Linked DNA regions of Drosophila melanogaster. The protein of the gene in region 1 purifies or fractionates together with the protein of each later gene. This does not show direct contact. Each region holds a gene or a part of one and is shown in the gene's direction. Other genes may lie near its edges. The genes, in order: CG6701, CG10077, CG4611 and Tdrd3.

Region 1 (7,959 bases):
ACCTGCACCCGTTGCCCCGCAAATCAAGCTCTTCAAGCAGCAGACGGCCTTTCAGCCCAGTGCCACACCGGCCGATCTAGAGCATCGCTACATGGCATGGAATGATGTGGGCATTGTTACCGCCCATGTGGAGCCCTCAGGCGATAGCTCCATCGATGTGGAGTTCCACGACGCTAGTATTCACCACGCTCTACACATTAGTAACTACAATCAGCACAATTTGGCCAGTGTGAGCAGTGGAGCTTTGGCATTGGCCTCCAACGAATCCAGCAAGTTAGTAGTCATTGCTCTGGCCGCCGCCGGAAACAAAGAGTGGTCACTCAGCCTCCCGGATTGCGAGAGTGCAGAGGCTGTTGTGGCCACGCGATTTCTAGTGGCTGTGGCCACCAGCTCCAGTTTTCTGCGTATCTTCACCGTGATGGGTACACAGCGTGAGGTGCTAACCATACCAGGACCAATGGTGGCTATTGCTGGACACGAGCACAGCCTAATGGTTGTTTACCACAGTTCCGCGCCCAGTCAGACGCAGCAGCATCTCGCCGCGATGTTGGTGAACATAAATGGATTGAGTTTGCGACAAGAATATCTGCCCGTTCCGCTGACTCCAGGCCGGCAGCTCACCTGGTTTGGGTACAGCGACACCGGATCGCCGAGTATTGCCGACAACATGGGTCTGCTGCAGTTGTATCGCCGGAGCAGCAACGCCTGGTTCCCCATCTGCGACACCATGAAGCAAAGCACCAGTGTGTCGCACAACTTCTTTGTGGTCGCTGTATCCGAGAAACGTCAGATAGTCCAGGCGGTCCTGTGCCGCGGTACCTCCTATCCCATGACCAATCCGCGTCCCATGCTCCAGGAACTGCGTATGCAGATCCCGCTCTGCGACGTCGAAGTGGAAAAGTCCGAGCTGGAGGATGCACTGCTGCGGTCCAGTCTGATGCAAATGGATGGGGCAGAGAAGATGCAAAAGGAGACGGCCATCAAGCTGTTTGCATTGGCCTGCAGCAGCGAGTGCGAGACGCGAGCTAGGGAATTGATCGAATCGATTGCCTGCACTGATCTGCTTCAACTGGCCGTGAAATACGCCACGAAACGTGGACGCATCCACCTGTCCGACCGTCTGTGCGAACTGCTACCTCAATTGGAGGCGGTCCAGGAGGCACGCAAGCAGCAGACTTTGTTGGGTGCCAGCGGCATTGCGGCCACCATTGTTCTGCCAATGACTCCCACATCGGCCTCACAAAGCGGCCCAAAACCCAAGGCCATCGAGCTGAGCTCGGCCAAACGGGGCACCCTGAAGAGATTGGTCAATTCACCCAATATGTTTAAAGCAGCAGCAGCATCGGCAGCATCCCGGCCCTCGACTCCGGATATCACACCCTCTCCGCTGGACACCCAGGAAAACATATTCGGCGAATCGGAATCCGAGGTTCCCATGGGTAAAGCCACCGATCACCGGTCCCCTTTGAATTCGGTTAATCCCTTTGCTATGAAGCGCAAACTGGGCGACACTGGAGTCATCTTTGGATCCGAAAAGCTGAAGCTGGCAAAGAAATAGTCTGTTTGTAGATTGATAAGTAGGTTTAAGATAAATATATTATATAAATAATGTGTAACGTTTATCCCATTCTGTGAGCTACATGTAAAATAACAAATTTTTATTTGAGCTTTTTATGGAACAGAATTGTTAAGGATTAATTTGCTTATTTAAATTTAAAGAATAAAATATACTTTTATTTATATTAAAATGTATATTCTTTAAAAAGCGGAGGGTACAAGTTTATTTAAAATATGATCAATATATTTTTAAATATTTTAAAATTCTACAAATTAAACATTCTGGTCTCCAAAGAATACCGTTGGTATTTTTATCTTTGGAATTAAACCAACCAAATAGTGTGACCAAACTTTGTAAATGACATTAATCGATCGAAACGATCATTTTAGGCTGGATTTTCCACGACTTTCAAGTCAAAGTTATGTGTTCGTTTAATTCTATTTTGTAAATAAGTGTTACACGCTCAAATTCCAACATAAAATTACACACTCATACACATAGGAAAAAACACAATATAAAGGTTAGAAATAATAAGCAAAAAAGGTGCTAGATATATCAAAAAAATAAATATATATATTTTTTAAATAACAAACTAAATTGACAGTTACATACACGTATGTAAGTATTGCGGCAGCGAGTGCTTCCTTTTGCGTTGTTTACGAAATTCTCGCCACTGGAAGAAAGCTAAAGAACTCCGTAATGAATTTCCAGTTCCAGCGAACTGATCACCGCTATTCAGAAGGCTCTCTGCTGCAGACGCAAACACACACACAAGCAGGCAAACACACAGGGACATCGTTAAAATCTAAAGATGGAGAGACTCTATTTCCAATTTAATGTTGAATTAGTTTTCGTTGAAGCCATTTTTTAACCCAACAACTTTTTTAAGAAATCCCCGTCTGGGTAACCCGTGCATATAAAACCCAACGCTCGCGCATCACTCTCTTCATTTGTTACCTGAACGTTACGCCGTGCATTTCGATCGTCAGCTGAATAGTACATACTATATCATATATAATATTTCAACGTGTGTGTGTGTCTGCGTCTTTGCGTTTTGTTCGCGTCAAATAAGTAACTTAATTGCGATTATTCGCAACAACAATTATCGATCCTACCCTTTTTGTTTGAGTGAGTGTATTACAATAACAAAAACATAGAAAAAAACAACAGGAAAAAATCAGTACAAAATAAAGAACATCAAGCCAAAATGACAAAAAATAAAAAGAACATAATCAACAATAACAATGGCAACGCAACCCCGCCGGACTTCCCAACACCGCCACCGACGCCACCGATCAATGCCGGTATCAAACCGCCCGGCACCTACGCCAATGGAATGCCTCGCAAGCCGACGGTTCCGTGGGGTAAGCTATATACTATGTATATACTATATATGATCCATAACATCGGATCACTTTTCACGGGCACAGAGCGCGAGTTGATGGGCTCGTTTTTGCTGGAGATGGCCAGACTCCAGGTGATAAGCGCCCAAACGGAGTGGTACGTGGACAAGGCCAAAATGCGAAAACTATTCGAGGTGCACTTGAACGCCCTGCCCAACAGTAGCGAGATTCGTCAGAAGCTCAGCAGTCAGGGAGCTACGAATGTAAGTTGAATCACATTGATAATGCCTTATTGCTATCCTATTTCCTGTACAGTGAGCACTGCCAAATGAGCTTCGGTCGGGGTTGCCTTAGAAAACTAATAAATTGCATTTTGTTGGTCCGATATGTACATGTGTAGGTCATTCTTTAAAATATGAAATATAATATATTAGGATAAGTATAATCGGATACAAAATGTAAACATGCCTTAAGTTGCTCAATATTCTCGACATTGCATTGCAGACCACTCGATTTCGCTAGTCAAAGCGCGATAAGACTGATTTCGTACTGTATGTATCTATATATGTATGTATGTGGCTTTCCTTTGTCTCGCTCCAGTCCAAACATTTTCCCCGTATTATCAGAGCAACTTTACAACTATTTGCACATACATACGATCGACGTCGTGTGCGATCGCGATTTGCTCGCTTGAGTCTATGAGTCATCTGGGTTCTGGGTTTTGGGTTTCCCCTGCCGGATTATTCTTTCTTTTACACTCAGATGCGCGGAATCTTTGCTGGTACAGCAGCAATCTGATCTAAACAAACGTAATCATTTGTTTATAAATTATAAACATTAACAAATGTACATGCATATTTTGTATATGACTTTAAGTGGATTTCAACTCAACTCAATGCTGAGAGTTCAGTTTAAAAACAGAAATATTATATTGTGTCAAGATCGTATATCTATAGCTCTATTGTTGTGACATACCGCACTTATAGCGCATTGTAATTATTTATGCCGTTAAAATGAAGTACATAGTAACAAGTTTACATCTCCTGCATATGGGTTTTCCATTTCAAAGGGATCGCAACTCGTTTGGGAAAACAGCTTTAGGAAAAGAACACAAAAATTAGAAAAGGAAAATCTGTCATTGTGTATTTCTCTTTGGTGGTCGTATGGTGAAATTCGATATGTGGAGTCAAGTGATTCCCCGTTTTCATTGGTATTTCAATGCCCATACATGCATATGTGCATACATACAGTGCCTATTGCGCCAGTGCAATTTTCTGACCGTTGAGATATAACAATCCTTTTCGGCGATTGATATAAACTATAACATTCGAAATTAAATGCAACATTTTCATTAGATTGGCTCCCTGCTGCATAGGACGAACTTTCTAATCAACACGCCTCGTGGAAACCCCAACTATCGCATCAAAAACTTCTCCTTGATGGACTTTCGCAAGGAGAAGTTCAATTTGCTGGACGAACAGCACCGATTGCGGGGAATCGCCTCCACGACCGATGTGCCCGGAGGAGCACCTGCTGAGGGCAACAAACCGATAATCGAAGGTAGTCTATCCATAATTAAGAAAAAAAATATTCTCATTATGCGTGAGAGTTTTTTTGTTGGCAGAATACAAACTTGACACAGACGTAAAGCCTACGCTTCTAAAATTTCAAAAGAGGCTGCTGCTGCAGTCAGATAAAGATTTCGAACTCCAATCCCTGGGCTGCTATATCTGCCAGGAGAACTTCGAGAAAATTGAGAAGTATGAGGAGCATGTGGAGTACCATGGCGACGAGTCTGATTTTCAGTCCCTCAAAAAGATGAAGAAATAGTAAGTAAATTGAATTATATCTCTACATATGTGAAAAAGGTTAATGTACAATGAGTGCCTCCTTTCCGCAGTCCAACGCCCATTGTGTCCCTGTCCTATCAGACCTGCGTGGACAGCCACTACTTTGGATTCACCTTAAAGACCTTCCGCAAGGATCTGGTGGTGGACAAGTTCATCATAGTGCAGTTACGACAGTTTTACTACGTGTATGGTGCACAAATGCCTCTGCCGGTGAATGGGAGCGGTGAACTTGTGTTCTTCGTGGACTCTCACGTCTTCATGATCCTTCGGGAGCAGCCCATCGTTATCGGGTTCACCATTCAGGGAGAGAAATATGTGGAGCAGCATCACTTCATGCGCACGGAGGCATTGCCCAAGGCTAGCTTCAACATCAATCCCTACCGGCTGTCTAGCAAGGAGACCTTCAAGAGCAAGGGTCTTCCGCCAGCCAATCCACCCATTCAGGTGTTGAGTGCTCTAAAGCACGAGGATGCCCAGATGTGTTTGGCTAGCTTTGATAATCAATATCAGAACTACTGCGAGCGGGGCAGAGAGATTACCCAGGAAAATCTGACCGGGACACTGCGCACATTGCTCCAGGTGGAGGACATCGAACGATTGCAGCATTATCTCTCGCTCAAACAATCAGAAATGGAGCTGCATCAGTTCGGGCGGGAGCTTTCCGTGAAAATGCAAATGGGTACCACCAGTATGAGCGTGGAGGATATCTTATCGCCTGGCGACGATGTGCTAATCATAAACGAGAAGGGCAACCCGAAATCGGCTGTACGCAAGATGTTGGAAAACAACAACAACGTGCTCGAGTTGGCACTCAAGGATTTTGACTCCATCTTGCGGTGGGCTCGCAATGTTGACGGAATGGTCGGATCTCTGGACAAGCAGCCACGAGTCTACTTCGCCCGCATCCTTGGCGTCTCAACGCAGCGGGTTAACATTACTTGTGAACGCCAGTTACCGGACAACACCACCTACACCCTGATCTTCCGTCCATTGCGAGCAGTGATGCGTTATCAGTACCGAGCACTTCAGCAGCTGTCGTTCACCAGGCACAGTGATGTTCAGCGGATCCTGTTTCCCGGTGAAATTCCCAATACACCTTTGGCCAGTGGAGTACTTCAGCTAAACAACAAGTTAATTTCGACCAATCCGGAGCAAATGCAAGCGGTTCGACAGATAGCGTTGAGCCCACGTCTAAAAGCTCCCTACATCGTGTTCGGACCACCGGGAACGGGTAAGACCTCGACCATCGTCGAGGCCATCTACCAATTGTACATAAATCGACCCGAAACGCACATCCTAGTGCTGGCTGGCTCAAATACGGCTTGTGACGAGGTGGCACTGCGACTTTTAAGGGCAATCGCCAAAGCACCACAGAGCCAGCCACGACCGCTAACCCGTATCTTTAGCGCCAATTGCGATCGGCGCATTGACAATATCGACGATTTGCTTCTGGAGTACTCGAACATGTACACTGTGCACTTTTATCCGGCCGTGCAAGCGGTGCACCAATATCGGATCGTGATTTGCACACTCAGTTTAGCTGGAAAGCTGTCTACCGGTGGCTTCGCCGCGAACAATGTGTATACGCATGTGTTTGTGGACGAAGCAGCCGCTTCCACGGAGGCGGAGGTTTTGATGGGCATCACCTGCACCCTATCGCCGACGTTGAATTTGATTCTATCCGGCGACCACAAACAACTGGGACCAGTGCTCCAATCGCAGAGGGCGAACGAATGGGGTCTTGGACTGACCCTCTTCGAGCGACTGCTGCAGAGGAAGTGCTACCAAGTGGAAGAGGATGGCAGCTATAACGCATCGGTGCAGACGCGACTCATCCGCAATTTTCGTTCACATCCGGAGATAGTATCGCTCTACAACAATATGTACTACGAGGGACATCTTCGGACTGAGGCACCCATGGGTGAGCGCTTGTAGTTACCATATAGGATCCAAAAATTATAATTCGTATTCGTATTTCAGAAATTGTTTGTCGCTTCCACAACTGGTTTTACCTGCCCAATGCGACTTTTCCCATCATGTTTCATTCCGTTTTTGGCACAACGATGAACACGAAGAGCTCTGTGAGGTCTGTGCATAAAATGGTGTACAAAACCAAATCTGATATTAATACATGGGATTTCAATTTTGCAGCCTGTGCAATAATAAAGAGATTGATGTTGTCATGGATTACGTGAAGGATCTGATGTATTTCGGCCTCAATGGCGAGAAGTTATTGCAGACTGATATCGGTATCATATCGCCGTACAAGAACCAGTACCAACGTATCCAAGAGCAGCTAAACATGCGAAACTGGTCTCAAATAGATTGCGGTTCTGTCGAATTATTCCAGGGCAAGGAGAAGCATGTGATAATCGTTTCATTTGTGCGCTCCTTTACTCCCAAACTTGGATTCTTGAACAATGAACGGGTATGTATTTGTTTATAAAATAATAGAACTATTCATGAAAAAAAAAAAACATTATTCCATTAAATTAATTATATTGCACACCCGTTTAGCGGTTGAACGTTCTGCTTTCGCGGCCGATTTCGCTGCTTATTCTCATCGGAAATCCACGAACTCTAAGCCAAAACAGTGACTTCCAACATATTATCGAAATGTGCCGCAATCGTAAGACCTTGGTTGGGGAGCAATACCTTAACGAAGATTTTATTACGAATAAAAAGACTGGGGCAAACAACGTCAATAAAGGAGGAGCAGCTGGGGATCAGCCTGCATCCGGGCTAAGGCAACCGCTCAAGCGAAGTAAGTAACGCCAGCAATTTAAGTGTCGCCAGACAAAACAAGCCGATTACAATCCCATGTCGTGGATGTCGGCTCTTTTTGCATGATAATAGCTTTTAATTTGCCGATTGCTTGTTTCTCTGGCGTGATCATCCTTAAATTATATTATCTAACCTCTAACCCGCACCTTATCCCAAACAGAGAACCATGCAAAGAATCCAGTCCAGGACGCCAAGATCTTCTACAGCAAGAATGAGCTGCTTAACCTCGGGAATGAGTGTCAGCGGAAAAAATCTGAGCTCGAAACCATATTCGACGAGTTGCCGAAGGTTCCAAGGTCTGTGGACCACGATTTGGATGAAGTTCGTTCGATAGAGGCCCAACTGAAAGATTTTCAATTGGAAACCAAACAGGACGCCGCAGGAACATCGATTTTAGTTACTAATGCTCCAGTTACTAATGCTG
Region 2 (7,666 bases), on another chromosome or scaffold:
CCGCGACTTCAATCTGCCCAATACCTTTAACTCCTGGTTCTTGGTCACCGAACTGCATGTTTGGCTACTCCTGATGCGCTCCATGGCCGAGGGCTCCGAAACGGGCGAGGATGGACGCTTCCTGCGCAACTGCATTGTGGAGGCGATGTGGGGAGATGTTAACACACGCGCCAAGAAATTGGGAGTAGGTTTTACTTTAGTTCACCTTTATATATATAATCTTTATGCTCTTCATATGTGTTTCCCAACAGGCTCACAATCCTTCACGCACCCGTCAGCAAATCGAGACCTTATCCGAGCAGTTCCAAGCGGCCCTAATCGCCTACGACGAGGGCATCATGTCCGACGATCGGGTTTTGGCCTGCGCCTTGTGGCGCCGCTTCTTCGAGATGAACTGTGATGATTACGCGCAGATCGAGCGACTGGTGAAGTACGTCCGCCAGCAGGCCAGCATGCTGGACAGTTTGCCGCGCGATCAGTTCATTGTCAAGCCGAAAGTGGCATGGTTGGAATTGGACAAGTGCAAGGTTTAATCTTAGTTATATTCTGTTTTTTAAAAATAAAGTTTGAGAGTATGTGAACTGGAAACTAGATGCTAAGGTCCTCCACGGACTGATTACTCAAGGCACGCAGCTGGCACTTGAGCAGAAATGCTGTAATCCTTCGTTCTGCCCTTCTCCGCTGCGGTTCCTTTAGTTGGGCCAGTATTTGGTCCATCTGGAGAAAGCTGCTTCTGGGCGAGATTATTTCAGCGGGCTCTTGTTCCTCGTAGATGATTTCCTCTTGGATGATCTGTTCACTGGGCTCCTCGATGACCTCCTCGATTATGAACGTACTCGACTGCTGTGGAACATCCCCATCCTCAAAAGTGTCCCACAAAAATTGCACAGGAGTTTCCGTCTGGATGGTCGCCTCCTGTTTGTTTGTTTTGGGTTTGGTTTTCACTTTGGAGGGCGGCTGGATCTCGGCCAAAAATCGCAGGCGTTCCAGGTACGGCCAGGTGGATCCACTGGTGTCCGCGCGGCGAAACTCCTTGCGAAACTGATAGTGCAGATTGTTCCAGCGCATCAGGCAGAAGTCCACTAAGAGGATTATAACTTTAAATATATATATCTTATTCTTTTATTAGCTGACTTACCATCACAGCCCATCATCTCGGCTATGCGAGCCCAGATATCGGTTTTCGCCTTCATGGCATCGTAGTTCGAGAGTCCAGATCTCTTATAGAGCACAGGATTGGGTTCCACCAGATCAATTAGCTTGAAGTCGAAAGGTCTGTTTTTCTTGTAACTGGTGCGCATGGCTACCAAATTGAATTAAACTAGCTTGAACTTGATAATTAAGAATCCCTTGCTTGAGCCATGTTTATTTACCTTATGAAGTACAGCAGAGCTACGATTAAGCGAAAACCATTTGGCACGTATTGTATGTCATAATTGCGGGCTTAAGATACTTAACAAATGAAGGGAAATTACATAATAATAAATTATATTTTAACTGCATTATTAGAACCTTGTTTATTAGTTATTACTTTACAGATAGAAATTTACAGGTTAACTACATTGAGCGATCACTGTAATATTCCAATTTATGTCCACACTTTGGTTTTTGGGTCGTTCTATAGGCTGGTCACATTTTTCTTGCTGACCATTATTATCGAAGTTGCTTTACCCGATAGGTTCCAGACAAACAATATCAGACGTCTTTGTTTTGCTTAAAAAATTAATAGTTCTTATTGTTAATTACCGGTGCCGCATTAAAAAAATACTGGTTAGACAACGAAGTAACTACAAACTAGCAACCATAGTGCTCTAAAGTGCTCTTAATAGTGTTCCATATTCTTTTCAGTTATTATTTTTATTTAATTTGTTATTATTAGAAACGTTCACAATAATTATTTATATATTAAAAGTTTCCTACTAACAAATATTTTGACATTTTTCCCTATTCGTTGTGATCGTTTCTAGAAAATTCAATCGATGTTTCCAGAAAACCTAACCTATCGAACCAATCGATATTAACACCGATTTTTTCCACAGCTCTATTGACGACGTAGAAGCTGAAAAAATTGTGGAGTGAAAAATTGTAAAAGTGACCGAAAAAACTATACTTTGGCCAGCTATATTTCCACTTACATCACACCAGCAATGAACATGTGAGTATTGAAACACAGGCACACATTTTTTAAGCCCAAATTTCGGTTTAGCATGCGGCCAGGGGCCGAGTGTCGAAAATCAATAAATTCAAAATGGCAGTAAAAAATGAAAATTACATAAAAAAAGGTCGCTTCGTGTAAATTTCAACATTTTGGCAACGCATTAAAGGGCTCAAAATTCTAATTTTATGGCACAAAACGCTCGTCGCAGGTACAACGGACAGATGAACGCCTTCGGAGGCGGTGGCGGCGGAGGAGCTGGTGGCCTAGCCGGCGGTATGGTGCCCAATCGCATGGGCGGTGGTGCTCCCGGTGGCGGACCCGGCGGAGCGGGCATGTTCCAGCGCAATCGCTCGGCCCCATACCCAGGTTTCAATGGTCATGGACCCGCCAACGGTGGACAGCGACGCATGAACGGTGGTGGTCCTAGCATGGGACCCGGCGGACCACGCAACCAGGATGGATTCGGTGGTCAGAACGGGGGCCAGCGCTCTTCCAATCATGGCGCTCACTTGCCCAAGATCGTTTGGTCTGAGGTGAATCTTACGCCATTCCGCAAGAACTTTTACAAGCCGTGCGATTCGGTGCTGGCCAGGACTGTCGGTGAAACAGAGACCTTCCTCACCAGCAATGAGATCACCATCAAGGGCGATCAGGTGCCCACACCCAGTATTGAATTCGAGGAGGGCGGCTTTCCCGATTACGTGATGAACGAGATCCGTAAGCAGGGTTTCGCCAAGCCAACGGCCATTCAAGCCCAGGGTTGGCCCATTGCTATGAGTGGACGGGATCTGGTGGGCGTGGCCCAGACCGGATCGGGCAAGACCTTGGCGTATGTTCTGCCGGCGGTGGTGCACATCAATAACCAGCCGCGCCTGGAGCGCGGTGATGGACCCATCGCCCTGGTCCTGGCTCCCACTAGAGAGTTGGCCCAGCAGATCCAGCAGGTAGCCATTGAGTTTGGCAGCAACACGCATGTGCGCAACACTTGCATCTTTGGTGGAGCGCCCAAGGGACAGCAGGCTAGGGATTTGGAGCGCGGCGTGGAGATTGTAATTGCCACACCAGGTCGCCTAATTGATTTCCTCGAGCGCGGCACCACCTCGTTGAAGAGATGCACCTATCTGGTGCTTGACGAGGCCGATCGTATGCTCGACATGGGCTTCGAGCCCCAGATCAGAAAGATCATGCAGCAGATCCGACCGGACCGTCAGGTACTCATGTGGTCAGCTACCTGGCCCAAAGAGGTGCGCCAGCTGGCCGAGGAATTCCTTAATAACTACATACAGGTGAACATTGGTTCGCTTTCGCTGAGCGCCAATCACAACATCCTCCAGATCGTGGACGTGTGCGATGAGAATGAGAAATTGATGAAGCTGATCAAGCTGCTAACAGACATCTCGGCGGAGAACGAGACCAAGACCATCATTTTCGTGGAAACCAAGAAGCGTGTGGACGAGATCACGCGCAATATCTCCCGCCAGGGCTGGCGCGCATGCGCCATCCACGGCGATAAGTCGCAGCAGGAGCGCGACTTTGTGCTCTCGAGCTTCCGCAATGGCCGGCACTCGATACTGGTGGCCACCGATGTGGCTGCCCGCGGACTCGGTGAGTATACGTAGCCTTTGTGGGGCCCTAAATGGGGCCAACTTTCGTTTTTTCTCTCCGTAACCAAGCAATTGTTGCCTGTGGATCAATCAGCATCCCGTGGGGTTTCATTCATTATTTTGTGATTCGTCGTCGACGCCTTCCTGGTTCGTCTGGTCTCAGCGATCCGTCAGCGATGAATCGGCCAACACCGCCCAGCCTCTTCGCTCTTCCTTCCGCTCTGTTTCCAGAACTTTGGAGGTTTTTCGTTTCGGGTCTGTTCCGGATTTCACAAGCTATTCACGATTTGAAGCTGAAAGCGCATGATTCCCATTTTGGGGTCCATTGATGGAATCTTCGCTTGCTTCAGTGTGTAAATAATACTCATAGTTTTTTGTTTGTATTCATTTTAATTTAATTAAGCTGGGTAAACAGTAGCCTAATCTAAGAGCTCTAGCGCAAATCTTCGCCTAGCTGTGTTCGAAATTAACTGGGGTTAGATATGGGGGTTAAATATTTGTAAACAAATTTTTATTTTATGTTATATTTTAAATGAAGTTTTGGGTAGCTATGCGGAGTTAAATGAGCTCATTACTGGTTACCATCTATCAAAGAATGTTATTTGGTAAACGTGAAAACCGGAAAGGACCGCTTGTATTTTTTTTTTAAATTGCATGTTCAAATCTGTAGGCAGCCGAAAAATTGTCATTTATTATTTTTCAATCATTTTCGAGTGGTTCGATGCCGGGTGGACCATTAAGTCTAACTTATTGAACCCTTTAGTTTGCTGAATGATTCTACGAATCCGAAGAAAAGGTGTGGGCTCAAATAATGAGGGGAATGTGTTTGTTCTCCATGCATTGCTGGTTATATGATGTTGTTACTTTTAGTTCGTTTGTTGCTCTCTTGCTCATAGTTTTTAGTTGTGTCTCGTCAATCACATTTTGAGTAACTTAATTGTAAAAAAGCGATTTACTGTCAGTCAAGGAGTCAATGGCCAGCAAAATAATCTTAAAACAAAAAACCCAAACTAAAGAGTAATCTCAGTGCACCCAAAAGAAATTAACCTTTAATCCAAAGCGATTAAACCGTGCCTTAACTATAACTATATATATATATCTTAAGTTTTTTTTTTATTTAGTTTCTAGAACAATGTGAAGTAACTAATGTGTTGAGTAACATTTGCAACATTTTGCGGCCCAAGTATTTGTTGACTGATGATAATTTTCTGTAGCTTATTTATGTATCATAAAGTACCTAGTATACTATATTACGTCGCTCCTTACTCTATGTATAATACCTAAATTTGTGTGTGAACAAAAATATCATCAGCACTTTATGAAATGGACTTCGATTTTTCAAATGGCAAAACTAGACAAAAAAGAAAAAAACCCGTTCAAAGTTAAAAAGTTATATACACAAAGCAGTTAAAGAGAAAAGCTATATATACAAGTTGAGGGTTGAGTTATAAGTTTCTAGCATTGCGGAGATCCGTGGGATCTCCATCATCACGGCCCAGTTGCGAGGACACCATCTCCAGGGACTCTTATTCGTAAGCCTAATTCTAATCCCATATTCTAACCCTAGATCGCCAGGGTAAGTACTAGGCTAATTTATTTCTTCCTAATCATAGCAATATGCCCGCATCCTCGTTCCCCCTTCCCTTCCATCGAAGTATGTTCCTCCTTTTAAACCAAATCAGCACCCTTCTATCATAAGCTTTGATCATTCATTCACATTTATGTACATCTCTTATTTATAATGTTAATTTTAATCAAGCCGTCTCTTGTATGCATTAAGCTTAAACATTTATATTACGATTTGTGTATTCAAAAATGATATAAAAGAAAGTATGATGAGAAGAAAAGGTCGAGGTCCACATTTCTGCAGTATAAAAAGAACATATGTCTATTTGCCAAAGATGTATTGTTATTAATATACGCTAATAGTATTGATGGCGAAATTTTTGTTCAAAGTACAAAACCATACCAAAAAAAAAAAATTTAAATTTAAACCGATCTAACACCAACCGACAAAATCCATTCGACAATTCGATCAAAAATGTATTTTAAGTTCTATTAACAAACTTAACAAGAAAAACAAATGATCGCACCGACACAAACAACCACTAATACCAATACCATGACATGAAAACACACACCAAGACAGAAACGGACACCACTCACACAAGCACACAAATAAGTTTTTTGTTTTTGTTAAATAGTTTCTTGAGTATTGAGAAAGATTCCTATTTTCGACGCATTGCTTCGATTTGATAATTTTAACGCTTCTTTTCACATTCTTCAATTTTCAAATTCGAAATGAAAAATATTATTGAAATCAAACAGACGTTGACGATGTCAAGTTTGTGATCAACTACGATTATCCTTCGAACTCGGAGGACTACGTTCATCGCATTGGACGCACCGGACGATCCAATAACACCGGCACCGCCTACACCCTGTTTACGCATTCCAACGCCAACAAGGCCAACGACTTGATCCAGGTGCTGCGCGAGGCCAACCAGGTGAGTGCTCCTCGTAGCTTTCAATCCTTTCGATGGCAAATTTACTCACCTCCTCCGTTTGCAGACCATCAATCCCAAACTGATGAACATGGCCATGAACGGTGGCTACAACAAGCGCGGTGGCGGCATGGGTGGCGGCTACCGTGGCGGCAATGGCTATCAGGGCCGCAATCCCCAGATGGGCGGTGGATACAATGGCGGCAACAACTACCGCAACAACAATGGTCCCGGCGCCACCATGAATCGCAACTCCTTTAACGGCGGCAGCGCTGGCGGACCACCACGCTTCGATCAGAAGCCGCGCACTTCTCCGCCGAATCAGGGCGGACAGGGCGGCTACCGTGGCCAGGGAGGCGGTGGCTACCAGGGACAACAGCAGCAGCAGCAGCAGCAGAACGGCGGAGTGCCCTTCTCTCGTTTCAATCCCAATGCTGCTTGCTTCGAGCCCAACAAGCCGCAGAATGGTCCGGGATCTGGACCGCCACAGGCGCAGCACCAGCAGCAGCAACAGGCTCAGGCTGCCCAGCAGCAACACCTACTTCCTGATGCATCCGTGCAGGCGGCGATGACGGCTGCAAACTACGGAGTTGATCAGAAGCGCTCCCGTTTCTCGCCCTACAACATGAACTTTGCCAACATGCCACCACCAGCGATGAACCAGCAGCAGGCGGCGGCGGCCCAGCAGCAACAGCAACAACAGTTGCAAACTCCCCAGCAGCAACAGCAGCAGCAGCAAATGCAACAGCCACAGGCCTATGGCCAGTACTCTTCAATGTCCTCCAGCATGGCAACCGTGTCGCTCAACGGAGGAGCTGCAGCGGTGGCCAGCTCTTACCGCGCCCCGTACGCAGTGCCCACGCAGGCGGCACCCTATATGATGGCGAACGGCGGCGACATCTTTGCCTATCCGCCGCCTCCGCTGCCTGTGCAGAACTAGAGGCCCTGCGGTTCGATAGAGGCTACCAGATTGTAGACCAGCTCTACTGTAATTTCCTTTCCCCACACGAACATTACACGCACATCCGCACACCCACCCGTATTAATTGTACACAAGTCACGATCACAAGTCCAGAGACTTCAGAGGGAAGATGTTAGATGAGCGTCGGTGATGTACGTATCGTGTAGATCTCCTCCGCCCACATCATAGCTATATAATATGGTTTAATCTGGAATCAAATACGCTTTTAATTTGATTAATCTCTTTGTTCCCCCCAAAACAAAACAAAACAAAACAAAAACCCCACATTTAGTTGATAAGCTTTTGGTTTAGTCAAATTGTTAGGGCATTCGAGTGCCGATCATCGATGTTGTTGGCATTTATCTTTCCAGAGCCCTGGGCGTATTTGATTTCTTTATACAATTCTCGAATATTGTACGTATCTATTCATACACTGCAA
Region 3 (4,549 bases), on another chromosome or scaffold:
CTGCCCCTGCTCCTGCTGCCCCTGTGCCTGGCGGCACCACCGTGGAGGATGACGAGGCGCTGGCGCGTCGTCTGCAGGCCGAGGAGGAGGCACAGCTGCTGCAGGAAACCGCTGGCGGTCCAGTCGCCCAGGCAGCAGACTACCAGCTGCCAGTGGCGCCGACGGAAAGCGGACCGAATGGCGACTTTAATGGCATACTGCTGAAGAAGGTGGTGCCGGCGGACAATTCGTGCCTCTTCACCAGCATACGATTCGTGCTCAACGGGAAGGTGGACAACGAGGGCAGCGAAATGATGCGTCACATCATTGCGCAGGAGGTGGCCGCCGATCCGCAGAGCTACAACGACGCCGTGCTGGGCAAATCGAATGCCGAGTACTGCGCCTGGATACAGAAGGCGGATTCGTGGGGCGGCGCCATCGAAGTGTCCATACTGTCCAACTACTATGGCATTGAGATCGATGTGGTGGACATACAAAACGCCATTATCAATCGCTTTGGCGAGGACAAGAACTTTGGACTGCGTGTCTTCCTGCTCTTCGATGGCATCCACTACGATCCGCTGTACATGGAGACATCGCCGAGTGCTGCGCCGGCCACCATCTTCCCGGTGGAAGAGCTGGGCGTCTATCAGCAGGCCGAGCAGTTGGCCAACGAGGCGCAGTCCTCCCGCCAATACACCAATGTGGATAAATTCACGCTGCGCTGCATGCAGTGCGATGTCAGGCTGGTCGGCCAGGTGCAGGCCCAGGAGCATGCCAAGCAAACCGGACACAAGAACTTTGGAGAGATTTAATACGTCCTGATCTTCGGCACCGTCTACATTGTGGCATTCATGCTGTTCGCCTACTACCTGCTCACCACCTAGCCACAATCGCCGTGCGAGGAGTCATCTCATTAGCAGTACTACCTCCACATCACCGCCTACCTAAGTTATTAATTATTGAATTGAGCCCAGCCGCCTGTATTCATGTTAGTCCCCTTTTAATCCCTTTCGGAATGCAATAAAATATACCTTCATCTACACTAGGCAAGTCTTGGAGTTGGTACCTATATAGCTATAAGGTCAAGTTCCAGAAAGCTGTCCTGAATTCACAAGGCAACCAACTACGTACGTACTTTTTTACTGAGCGTCGAACAAAACCGAGGCTCTCAACTGTTCAATTACATTAAATTTAAAATAGTTATCTTAGGTCCAGTGCTAGGAAGCCCATGGTGGGGTCATGGCAGCGGGATTCTGGAGGTAGGACATCACCACCGCACTGACGCTCAACATAAAGGAGGAGAGCACCTGTTTGGCATCGTCGCTGGCCCGAGAACTGGCGAAACTAATGCAGGAGCAGTACAGCGCAAACCAGGCGCACCACTTGAGCTGTGTAGGTGGGTTACATACTGATAAATGCCAAGTCACTTGGTTGTAATCTTTGGGGTGTTATTACCTTCATCATCAGTCCACACATGGAGAAAATCATGCCCAGAATGTTCATGTAATCCGGCATCATGTCCTCGTTGGCGCCGCCGCTCTGGCCCTGGTTCTTGGGCGCCTTGTAGCGGTTGATCTTCTCCTTGCGGCGCGGATCCACGGTCATGTTCATTTTTAATTTATTTAATTTTCACCAATTTAATCGAAAAACCAGGTCAGATTGCAATGGATGTTTGCGTGGAATGTGAATGCCGTGCAGGTTGCTTACGTTCTTATTTGACTGGCATTTCGGACACAAGGTGGCAACGCCCCTTCATCAGCTGTTTCTTTATTTACACCGCCGCCACACGCACGTTTAAAATAGTTTTTTTTTAATTACATAAAAATCACAGAAAATTGCAACAGATAACATGGCTCTGCGGTTGATTAGCCGTTCAATGAGCTGCCACATACGTGGCTTGCAATTAAATGCCACCGGAAGACGGTTAAATAGTTACAACATCAGCCGGCTGGTTATTCTGCCTGCAACTTGGTCTTGCTCACAAAATCGCCTGCTGCACGTGAGGATTACGGATCAACAAGCCGGTTTGGAGACCAAACGAGAGGCCAACAGGAACCAGAATCCTTTTCGCGAAGAAGTTTTTGAAGAACTTATCACAGCAGCACCCAAGGAGCACCAGAAGTTTAAGCCAGAAAAGAAACCCAAAGAGAAGTCCACCAAAAAGGTGCAGGATTTTGGTGATCCGGACACCTTTGGCGATGCCAAGGTGGCTGCAACAGAAGACCCGGGTGATGTCGAGGAAGAGGAGTTCCTTAGCAATTCCACTAGGCGCTCAAAGAAACTAAAAGCCGTGGAATACGCCCGCCAAATTAAGGACCATCTTAAGGCGAATCGCCTAAATGAGGCCATCGCCGTGCTGGAGCAACGGATGCTAAAGGAGGATCGCGCCAAGCCGGACAAGTACATATACAATCTGCTGATCAGTGGCTGTGCCAAGGCGGGCTACACCCGCAAGGCCTTCTTCCTGTACACCAAGATGCGGCAACGTGGTCTTCAAGTCACCGGAGGAACCTACACTTCGCTATTCAACGCCTGCGCCAATGCTCCCTCCGTGAGCGATGGCCTGGCCAAGGCCCAAATCCTGCGGGAGAACATGCTCGAGAAGGGCTACGAACCAAATGTGAAAAACTACAATGCCATGATCAAGGCGTATGGAAGGTGTGGCGATGTGGACACCGCCTACATGCTGGCCGACGAAATGATGGAGCGCCAGCTGGAACTGAATGCAGATACATTCAACTTTCTGCTGCAGGCGTGTGCCAGCAACTCGGAGCACGGTTTCCGGCATGCTCTGCTGACTTGGCACAACATGTTGCAGCGAGGTATTAGCCCGGACTACTACAGCTTCAATGCAATGCTGAGATGTGCAAGGGATTGTGGCTTCGGTGACTTGGATTCCATGCGAGAGGTTATCGATAAAATTGCGCCCTCAGCTGCTAGAAAGAAACCAGTTCTCCAGTTGGAGAAAGGTCAGCAAGATGATTTACCCAGTGTGGAAGCCAACACAACTACGTTGCCTGCCCAAATTGAGGTGGCCACCACAGCGAGCGAGCTGGAACTGCCCAATCTTTTGCTGCCTCAGCCGCATCTGGGCAGTCTGGTGGCCCTGGAGGAGGTGACACGTCCACACGAACGTTTCTTGCTACTCGGCGGTCTCACTGGCTTTCTGGAGCACATGAAGCAGCACAACATTACACCGGACATCGAGACATTTACCGCAATGCTGGAGGTGATACCGCCCACAAATGCTGCCGAGAAGCAGCTGCTCACGTTTGTGCGCAAGATTGGCCTCAAGGCGGACATCGACTTCTTCAACATACTGATTAAAAAGCGTTCCATGCGCTTTGATTACGAGAGTGCCAAGGAAGTGCTCCTCATGATTCGCACGGCGGGTTTGCGGCCGGACATTGTCACCTACGGTGTGCTCGCTTTGGGTTGTCGCACGCAGGAAGAGGCTAGGGAACTGCTGGAACAGATGCATGTGGCGGGCATTAAGATGAACATGCCCATACTGGGGGCCATGCTGCGGCAGGGATGTGCTAACAAATCCTTTAGCTACGTCAACGAGATCATTCAGTTGAGTCTGGAGGAGGGCCTTAAGCCAAATGAAGCCTTCCTGCGGCACCTGCACAACTTTCACAGAGGTTGTGCGCGAGCCATTGATGCCAGAGTGAGTTTATAGCTAACTTTCTGCTAGTTAAATCATTAATTGTTGTGTATATGCAGCATCCATCAACCAAGACGGCAGCCTTTAAGAAGGGCCACTCTAAGTTCTGTGATAAATACCGCCTGTACTACGAGGAGCAGGGACTGTCCGGTCTCAAGCTGGAGGACGCCATTGCCAAGGTGAAGGAGCGCCCGTATGACCAGTTCAAGCTGCCGCCTGTCAACGGAATGGAACCACTCAAGCACGAGCAGCTCAAGCACAAAACGAAACAGCGAAAGTACATCAAGAAGATCAAGATACACGAGCTGAAGGATGACCCTCCCAAAGAGTCTTTGAAGAGGATAGAATAAGCTAAAAAGTTTAACTCCCAATAAAGTTTATTATTATTCGTTAACCAATCATGGTTCTTTTGCGTCCGCGTGCTCGCACCTCCTCGAACTTGGTGAGCACTGCCTGTTCGTCCTTACCGCACGCTGTGCGATAGGCGGCCAGGACGTGCTCGAAGATATACGGCTGTTCGCTGTGCGTACTGAGTAGCGCCCGCTCCAGGACGTACAGATCCACACCCTTGTCCTCGGTGGCCTGATTGTAGTGGCTCAAGCCGAAGTCAATCAGAATGACATCGTAGTCGCCACCCTTCGGATTGATGAGGATGTTAGATGTGGTGAGATCGCCATGTATAATGTGATTGGAGTGCATTTTCCCAATGATTTCACCGATCCGCGTGCAGAACTCCAGCAGACATTTCTTGGCTTCATCCTCCGTCTGAGTGGACACTGTTTCCTGGATGAACTGCTTGGCAGTCTTGGCTGCATCGAAATATTCCATATACAGCTTGTGGGTGTTGAGGTCCGAGTGGAGGATCTTTGGTGCCAGGATTCCAGCGGCTAGACATCTTCC
Region 4 (5,155 bases), on another chromosome or scaffold:
ATTTAATATTGGCAATTGAAGATAAGATATGCTGTGAGTGATTTTATCTTCAATTTAGATTTATAAAGTTTCTGGCTAATCTCATAGCATAAGTATTTAGTTTATTCTCTTTGCAAAAGTATTTGATGAAATGTTTTCGGACTGCGTTGCTATTCATATACCCACCGCTGTGCCCAACCATTTGCCCATATATTCGGGTGCCGCTTTACAAAAGTGCGTTGTCCCGGGCATACGAAACTTGTTTTTCTGTTTTCGTAAGGTTTTTCAACTGCGCCGCAGTTTTCTTTTGAGCGGATGGGACGAGCCCCCTTCGAAATTGGACAAACACGCCCAAAAACACACACACACTATCGCAGTCAATTATGAAAGATCCCCATTGACTTCCTAGCGACCTACAAACGCAAACAAGCTTATCAATAAAATTCAATTCAATGCGTTTTATATTGAGCCTCGCAGCATCTTTCGCGCTCTCCCACTCCCACTCGCTCTCTTTCTCACTCCCACTCACAGAGTCACTGAACTGCCCAGTGTGGTTGCTTTTGCACTCAGCTGTTTTGCGAACGCAAGTGTGAGTGTGTTCGTGTGTGTGCATTCTGCACGAAGAGGGGAGAGCAGTAGAGAAAACACCAGAGGGGTGCAGAAAATATTCACAGGGGTTTTCCCAAGCAGAAAACATTGTGCAAAGGCCAAGTTCAGACGCGGAGTGTGAAAAGAAACAAGAAACTTAACAAATTAAGATTTATGCAAAGCAAAATAAAAAATTTATTTTTGTTTCGCCTTGGAGAATCGCTATCATATAGTTGGCAGATCTTAATGATTCCGAAAGCTTCCCTCTCTAGACCCACCCATGTAAGCAAGTGGGAAGAGACTTACCCAATGGCAAATCGCAGAGGAGACAGCAGGCGGCCAGGGAACCGGCCGAAGCGCCTCCGATCTTCTCCAGCAACAGATGCGGTGCATACTTCTTGAAGCAGACGGCCACTCCGACGTGGTAGATGCCCAGGAATCCGCAGCCAGCGAATGATAGATTCATGCTTTGGACTCGGCGTTAGATTCTATAAATCGTTCGATGACTGTTTGTTGTTGTTGCTACTGCGTCACTGGTTTTTTCTCTCTTTAAGGTATTTTCTCGCACTTTCTTCGCGGATTTTAGTCGTTGCAGCTCCTTTGATGTAACAATTTCTTGTCGCGTTTCGAAATAAATCTCGTTTGGGTTTTCAATCACTGTTTGTCGGTCGGCTGGAAAAATTACTCCGCTCTCGAAATGAAAAGTTGTTGCTCGCGAACCGTTATTTACTCGCTCTGCGGATGGCAGCCCCCTTTTATACATTCATTGCGGCGCGGTGTGACCGCATTTTATTCGCTTTACCACCTAAACTAGAACTGTCATTAGAGTGGCTGTGCGTATAGGGTACTCTTTTGTTTGTTCTAAACATGTAGATATTACGACTTTAAATCGATTTATAATGCCAATTCTTTATAACTGATAAAATTTAATTATCGATATATAAGTACATCTATCAAAAATATATATGCTAGTATATGTGTTGCACCCAATTTTGACATTATCTCTTGGGACATAATATATATATTATATTTAATTTGAATAAGTGTGCAAGAAATATTAAAATTTTTAGATTTTAAGAAAGCATTTAATATTACTAAACAACCTAAACTTAAACGATAATAGTATGCACCGTCAGCCGATAGTTGCCGCCAAGCACATCACTAGCGAGTACACACATCTAATACTTTTGTCATCCCTAGTCCGGAGTTGCAAAAAAATCGTCTTCATGAAAAAATGGAATTAGGCAAGAAACTACGAGAAGTCGGGTGGTAAGTACAATTTTAAATTGTGGCATACAATGCTTCTTAACGATTTACGCAGGTACCTGACAGAGGAGGGCCTTAAAATCGTGACAACAGCCGTCGGCAGCGAGGATGTCCGGAAAATAGTCAATGATGCACTGAATGTGAGTTGTAGGCGAACCGGCTGCTCAGCATTCTGTGTAATTATTAATTATAACCTATTACTCACACTTTGCAGCGAGATCTGCGCGATATTGGCGGTGGCGCACTGCCCGCGAAACGCGAAGATGCCACTTTGCCCGGTAAAATTGTGCTGCAGGTTCAGCGTGTGCGAAATATTGCCGCTCCCAAGGCGAATGAGGAATCGAAGGCGGCGCCACGCCTCCTTCAGTTGGATCTGAGTGATGGGCAGAATTCCATAAAGGCCTTGGAGCTGGAGCCAGTTCCCCAACTGAATCTCAATGTGGCTCCCGGAAGCAAGATCTATTTCAAGGCCGAGAAACTGCAGCTTATGCAGGGATTCCTGCTGCTAAAGTCCAGTGAAATTCAGCTGCTCGGCGGCCGTGTGGATGCACTCTACGAGAAATGGGATCTGGCCAGGACCATGATGAGATATGCGCGCAGTGGGCGCCCCTTGAATGGGACATCAGCGCCACCCCCGTGGGTGGCATTTGGCCGAAAAATCGATAGCAACGCCGAAAGCGAAATGAACTTTAAGAGCCTGGGCGAGGGCGACAAGGACAAGCCGGCAAAGGAGAACGAAGAGTTCAATGCCATGCGCACAGAGGCCATTGCCGTGGCCACCAAGGCCGGCGGCAAGAAGATCTTTGGCGGCGGTGGCCAGAACATTATCGATCACAATGTTAAGAAGATCCTAGACAAGGGCTTCAGCGAGGAGGAGGCCCGCAGTGCCTTATCTGCTACCCGAAACAACTTGGAGCGCGCCCTATACAATCTAAAAAGACGCAGTGAAGCTGGCGGTGTGGGTCCGATCGAATCCGTGGGTCGTCCGGGACGCGGAGATCGTCCGCCCAGAGAGGGAAAGCGTGGAGCTAGCGCCAAGGACGAAGTTGAAGCACCCAAGCCGGCTGCCAACACCACGCTGTTTGATTTCCTAACCAATAAACTGCCCGCCAAGGAAACACCGGCCGCTAGTAATGCAGAAACCTTCGCTGCCGCTCCAACTGCCGCTCCGACTGCCCCACCCACTACCAATCACTTCAATCCATTTAAGCAATATGGAAGCTCGCGCTTCAGCGATTCCGAGAGCAAACCTTCAGCTATGGGCGGAGGCGGCAAGTTTGCAGATCGTTCTAGGTTTGAGAACAACGTATCGAGCAGCTTTGCCGCACATCGTGGTGGACATGTGGGTTCGTCGCGAGGCGGTGGCCGTAACCGGGGTGGCGGCAGGGACGAAAGGCCACCAAGAGAGGAGCGAGCCTACAGGGAAGACAGGCCTCCGAGGGAAGAAAAACCGCCGAAAGAGGAGAGACCACCGCGAGAGCGAGGAGCGTTCAATGATCGTGCAGCTGGACGTTACAAACCAGAAACGCCAACCGTAAAAACCGCAAATCGCAATGGCTCGGATAACGTATCGTTGAAACCGAATTCCGAGATTAAGCCAGATCATGAAACAACCAATGGGAAGGACCACACTGGCAACCGACGTGGCAGCGAACGAGGCAGCAATCGTGGAGGCTCCAATCGAGCAGAGAACGGCAACGCCAATGGCAACAGACGAAACAAGCCGGCAGCAAGCTTAACTTCGGCGAGTTCTGCAGCGAAATCGACAAATAGTGCTGGCGATGATTTCAACGCCCGTTTGAGTAAGATAACCGAGGAAACAGCTAATCTCAAGGTGAGCAGTGCGCCAAAGCGAGAGAATCGACGTAAGCAAGGAGGACAAGCCAATCGCCTGGCGGGATCGGGCACAGAAACAACGCAGCAGCAGCAGCCAGCACAGTTGCATTCGCAGAAGCCAGAGAAGGCTCAAACCAACCAAAAGCATCACAATCCCAGGCACAATTCGCAGGCGAACTACAGTCAATTGGCGAATGGCTACACTTACGATCCCAGCAAGATCATGGGTTTCCAGAGCAAGGAGGCCAACGAGTTTGCCATGAACCTTCTAAAGAGCCAGGGTGTTACACTGCCCAACGAAAAACAACAGGAGGAGGAACAGCAGGAATCGCCACCCATGTCCTTTGGCCCCGTTTCCGCTCCTGTTTCCCGTGCGCAACCTGCTCCAGTGGCTGTGCCACAGGCTGCGCCACGGGATCAGTTCGGCATGGTGCCAGGCGATGCGTGGATGTGGCAGAAGGGCGACTTGTGCATGGCCAAGTATTGGGACGATGGAAGGGTGAGTTTAGGTCGATAAACTGAAAGTACATTCGTAATTGTAGTAGGACAAAGTATTCAAATTGATCTATTGAACTTAACTTATCATTCCTTCTTTATTTTCCAGTATTATGAGGCTGAGATCACGGGCGTGTCGGAGAAAACTTGCGTGGTCTTCTTTATGGGCTATGGAAACCATGAGGAGGTATTGAAGGTCGACATCCTGCCCATCACCGATGCCCAAAACAGGCCACTGAGCAACTCAGCGCAGCAGCAGCAACCGCATCTGCAGCAACAGCAACCGCATCTACAGCAGCAGCAACATTCACGCTACCGCGGAGATCGTCAGACGCAGCAGCAGCAAGTCTACGTGCCGCCCCACAAACGAGAGCATTGAGACAACATGGTAACAGCCTGTTAACAACGTATTTAAATCAATTAACATGTTTCGAATAAACAACTTTACAGAATATTAAAACTATGAGTACGTATTTTGTAATCTGCTGACTTTCATATAATTTAAAGCGTACTGTTGATTACGTCTTACCTATTAAGTGAATATATCTCCTATAACGTGAAAAATTGAATTAAGCAAAGTTTTATTTAATAATTTAGTAATTAACATTTCTTTGTAAACATTATTCGAATTCGATTAATTCCTGGCGCAGTACTATCGATTGTCCCTGATTTCTGCGCGACATGTTCAGCACTATTTCGCGCCGCTGCTCAGCACTGGTGCATTTCGCGAATTTTCCCTCATACATACATAACTTATTTTTAACATTTTTCGACGTGATGTGCATTTTCTCTCATAGTTTTGTGCTTAACCATGTAAAATAGAATTAGTCCGTAGTGTACAAACAATAGGATTTAGTGCAAAGGTAACGCAAAAAGAGTGCAAAAGCCCGAAATGTACGCACAAATTGGCCAGCAAGTGTACAGCTGGCTGGCTGACTTGCCATAAACGCGCTGGAAAGGGTTCAGCGCAGTAAATTTTGCTTGCTGAGCA

What was found.
Region 2: the proteins of CG6701 (region 1) and CG10077 purify together in Drosophila melanogaster (affinity purification with mass spectrometry, with the first as the bait; one large-scale study listed by BioGRID). This does not show direct contact.
Region 3: the proteins of CG6701 (region 1) and CG4611 purify together in Drosophila melanogaster (affinity purification with mass spectrometry, with the first as the bait; one large-scale study listed by BioGRID). This does not show direct contact.
Region 4: the proteins of CG6701 (region 1) and Tdrd3 purify together in Drosophila melanogaster (affinity purification with mass spectrometry, with the first as the bait; one large-scale study listed by BioGRID). This does not show direct contact.

The regions. Positions count from the first base shown.
Region 1 is NT_033778.4:13,974,147-13,982,105, reverse strand, and holds the start of CG6701 (uncharacterized protein), read left to right. Parts: upstream 1-1,940; 5' UTR 1,941-2,078; intron 2,079-2,162; exon of another isoform or gene 2,163-2,687; 5' UTR 2,688-2,765; coding exon 2,766-2,922; intron 2,923-2,988; coding exon 2,989-3,164; intron 3,165-4,256; coding exon 4,257-4,461; intron 4,462-4,525; coding exon 4,526-4,730; intron 4,731-4,801; coding exon 4,802-6,672; intron 6,673-6,731; coding exon 6,732-6,837; intron 6,838-6,902; coding exon 6,903-7,179; intron 7,180-7,268; coding exon 7,269-7,515; intron 7,516-7,695; coding exon 7,696-7,959. Other genes in the region: Ctf4 (chromosome transmission fidelity 4), read left to right, coding at 1-1,558.
Region 2 is NT_037436.4:6,949,870-6,957,535, reverse strand, and holds the start of CG10077 (uncharacterized protein), read left to right. Parts: upstream 1-1,631; 5' UTR 1,632-1,770; exon of another isoform or gene 1,771-1,783; intron 1,784-2,023; exon of another isoform or gene 2,024-2,039; 5' UTR 2,040-2,147; coding exon 2,148-2,155; intron 2,156-2,366; coding exon 2,367-3,763; coding exon of another isoform or gene 3,764-3,777; exon of another isoform or gene 3,778-5,732; intron 5,733-6,090; coding exon 6,091-6,269; intron 6,270-6,333; coding exon 6,334-7,206; 3' UTR 7,207-7,666. Other genes in the region: Uqcc1 (Ubiquinol-cytochrome c reductase complex assembly factor 1), read left to right, coding at 1-184, 252-533; CG9948 (uncharacterized protein), read right to left, coding at 589-1,082, 1,139-1,301.
Region 3 is NT_037436.4:5,134,641-5,139,189, forward strand, and holds CG4611 (uncharacterized protein), read left to right. Parts: upstream 1-1,735; 5' UTR 1,736-1,831; coding exon 1,832-3,652; intron 3,653-3,708; coding exon 3,709-3,999; 3' UTR 4,000-4,039; downstream 4,040-4,549. Other genes in the region: Yod1 deubiquitinase, read left to right, coding at 1-794; CG10674 (uncharacterized protein), read right to left, coding at 1,200-1,370, 1,438-1,593; Tcs5 (Threonyl-carbamoyl synthesis 5), read right to left, coding at 4,040-4,549.
Region 4 is NT_037436.4:14,785,046-14,790,200, forward strand, and holds Tdrd3 (tudor domain containing 3), read left to right. Parts: upstream 1-1,745; 5' UTR 1,746-1,801; coding exon 1,802-1,836; intron 1,837-1,888; coding exon 1,889-1,973; intron 1,974-2,047; coding exon 2,048-4,168; intron 4,169-4,273; coding exon 4,274-4,543; 3' UTR 4,544-4,620; downstream 4,621-5,155. Other genes in the region: bmm (brummer), read right to left, coding at 874-1,033.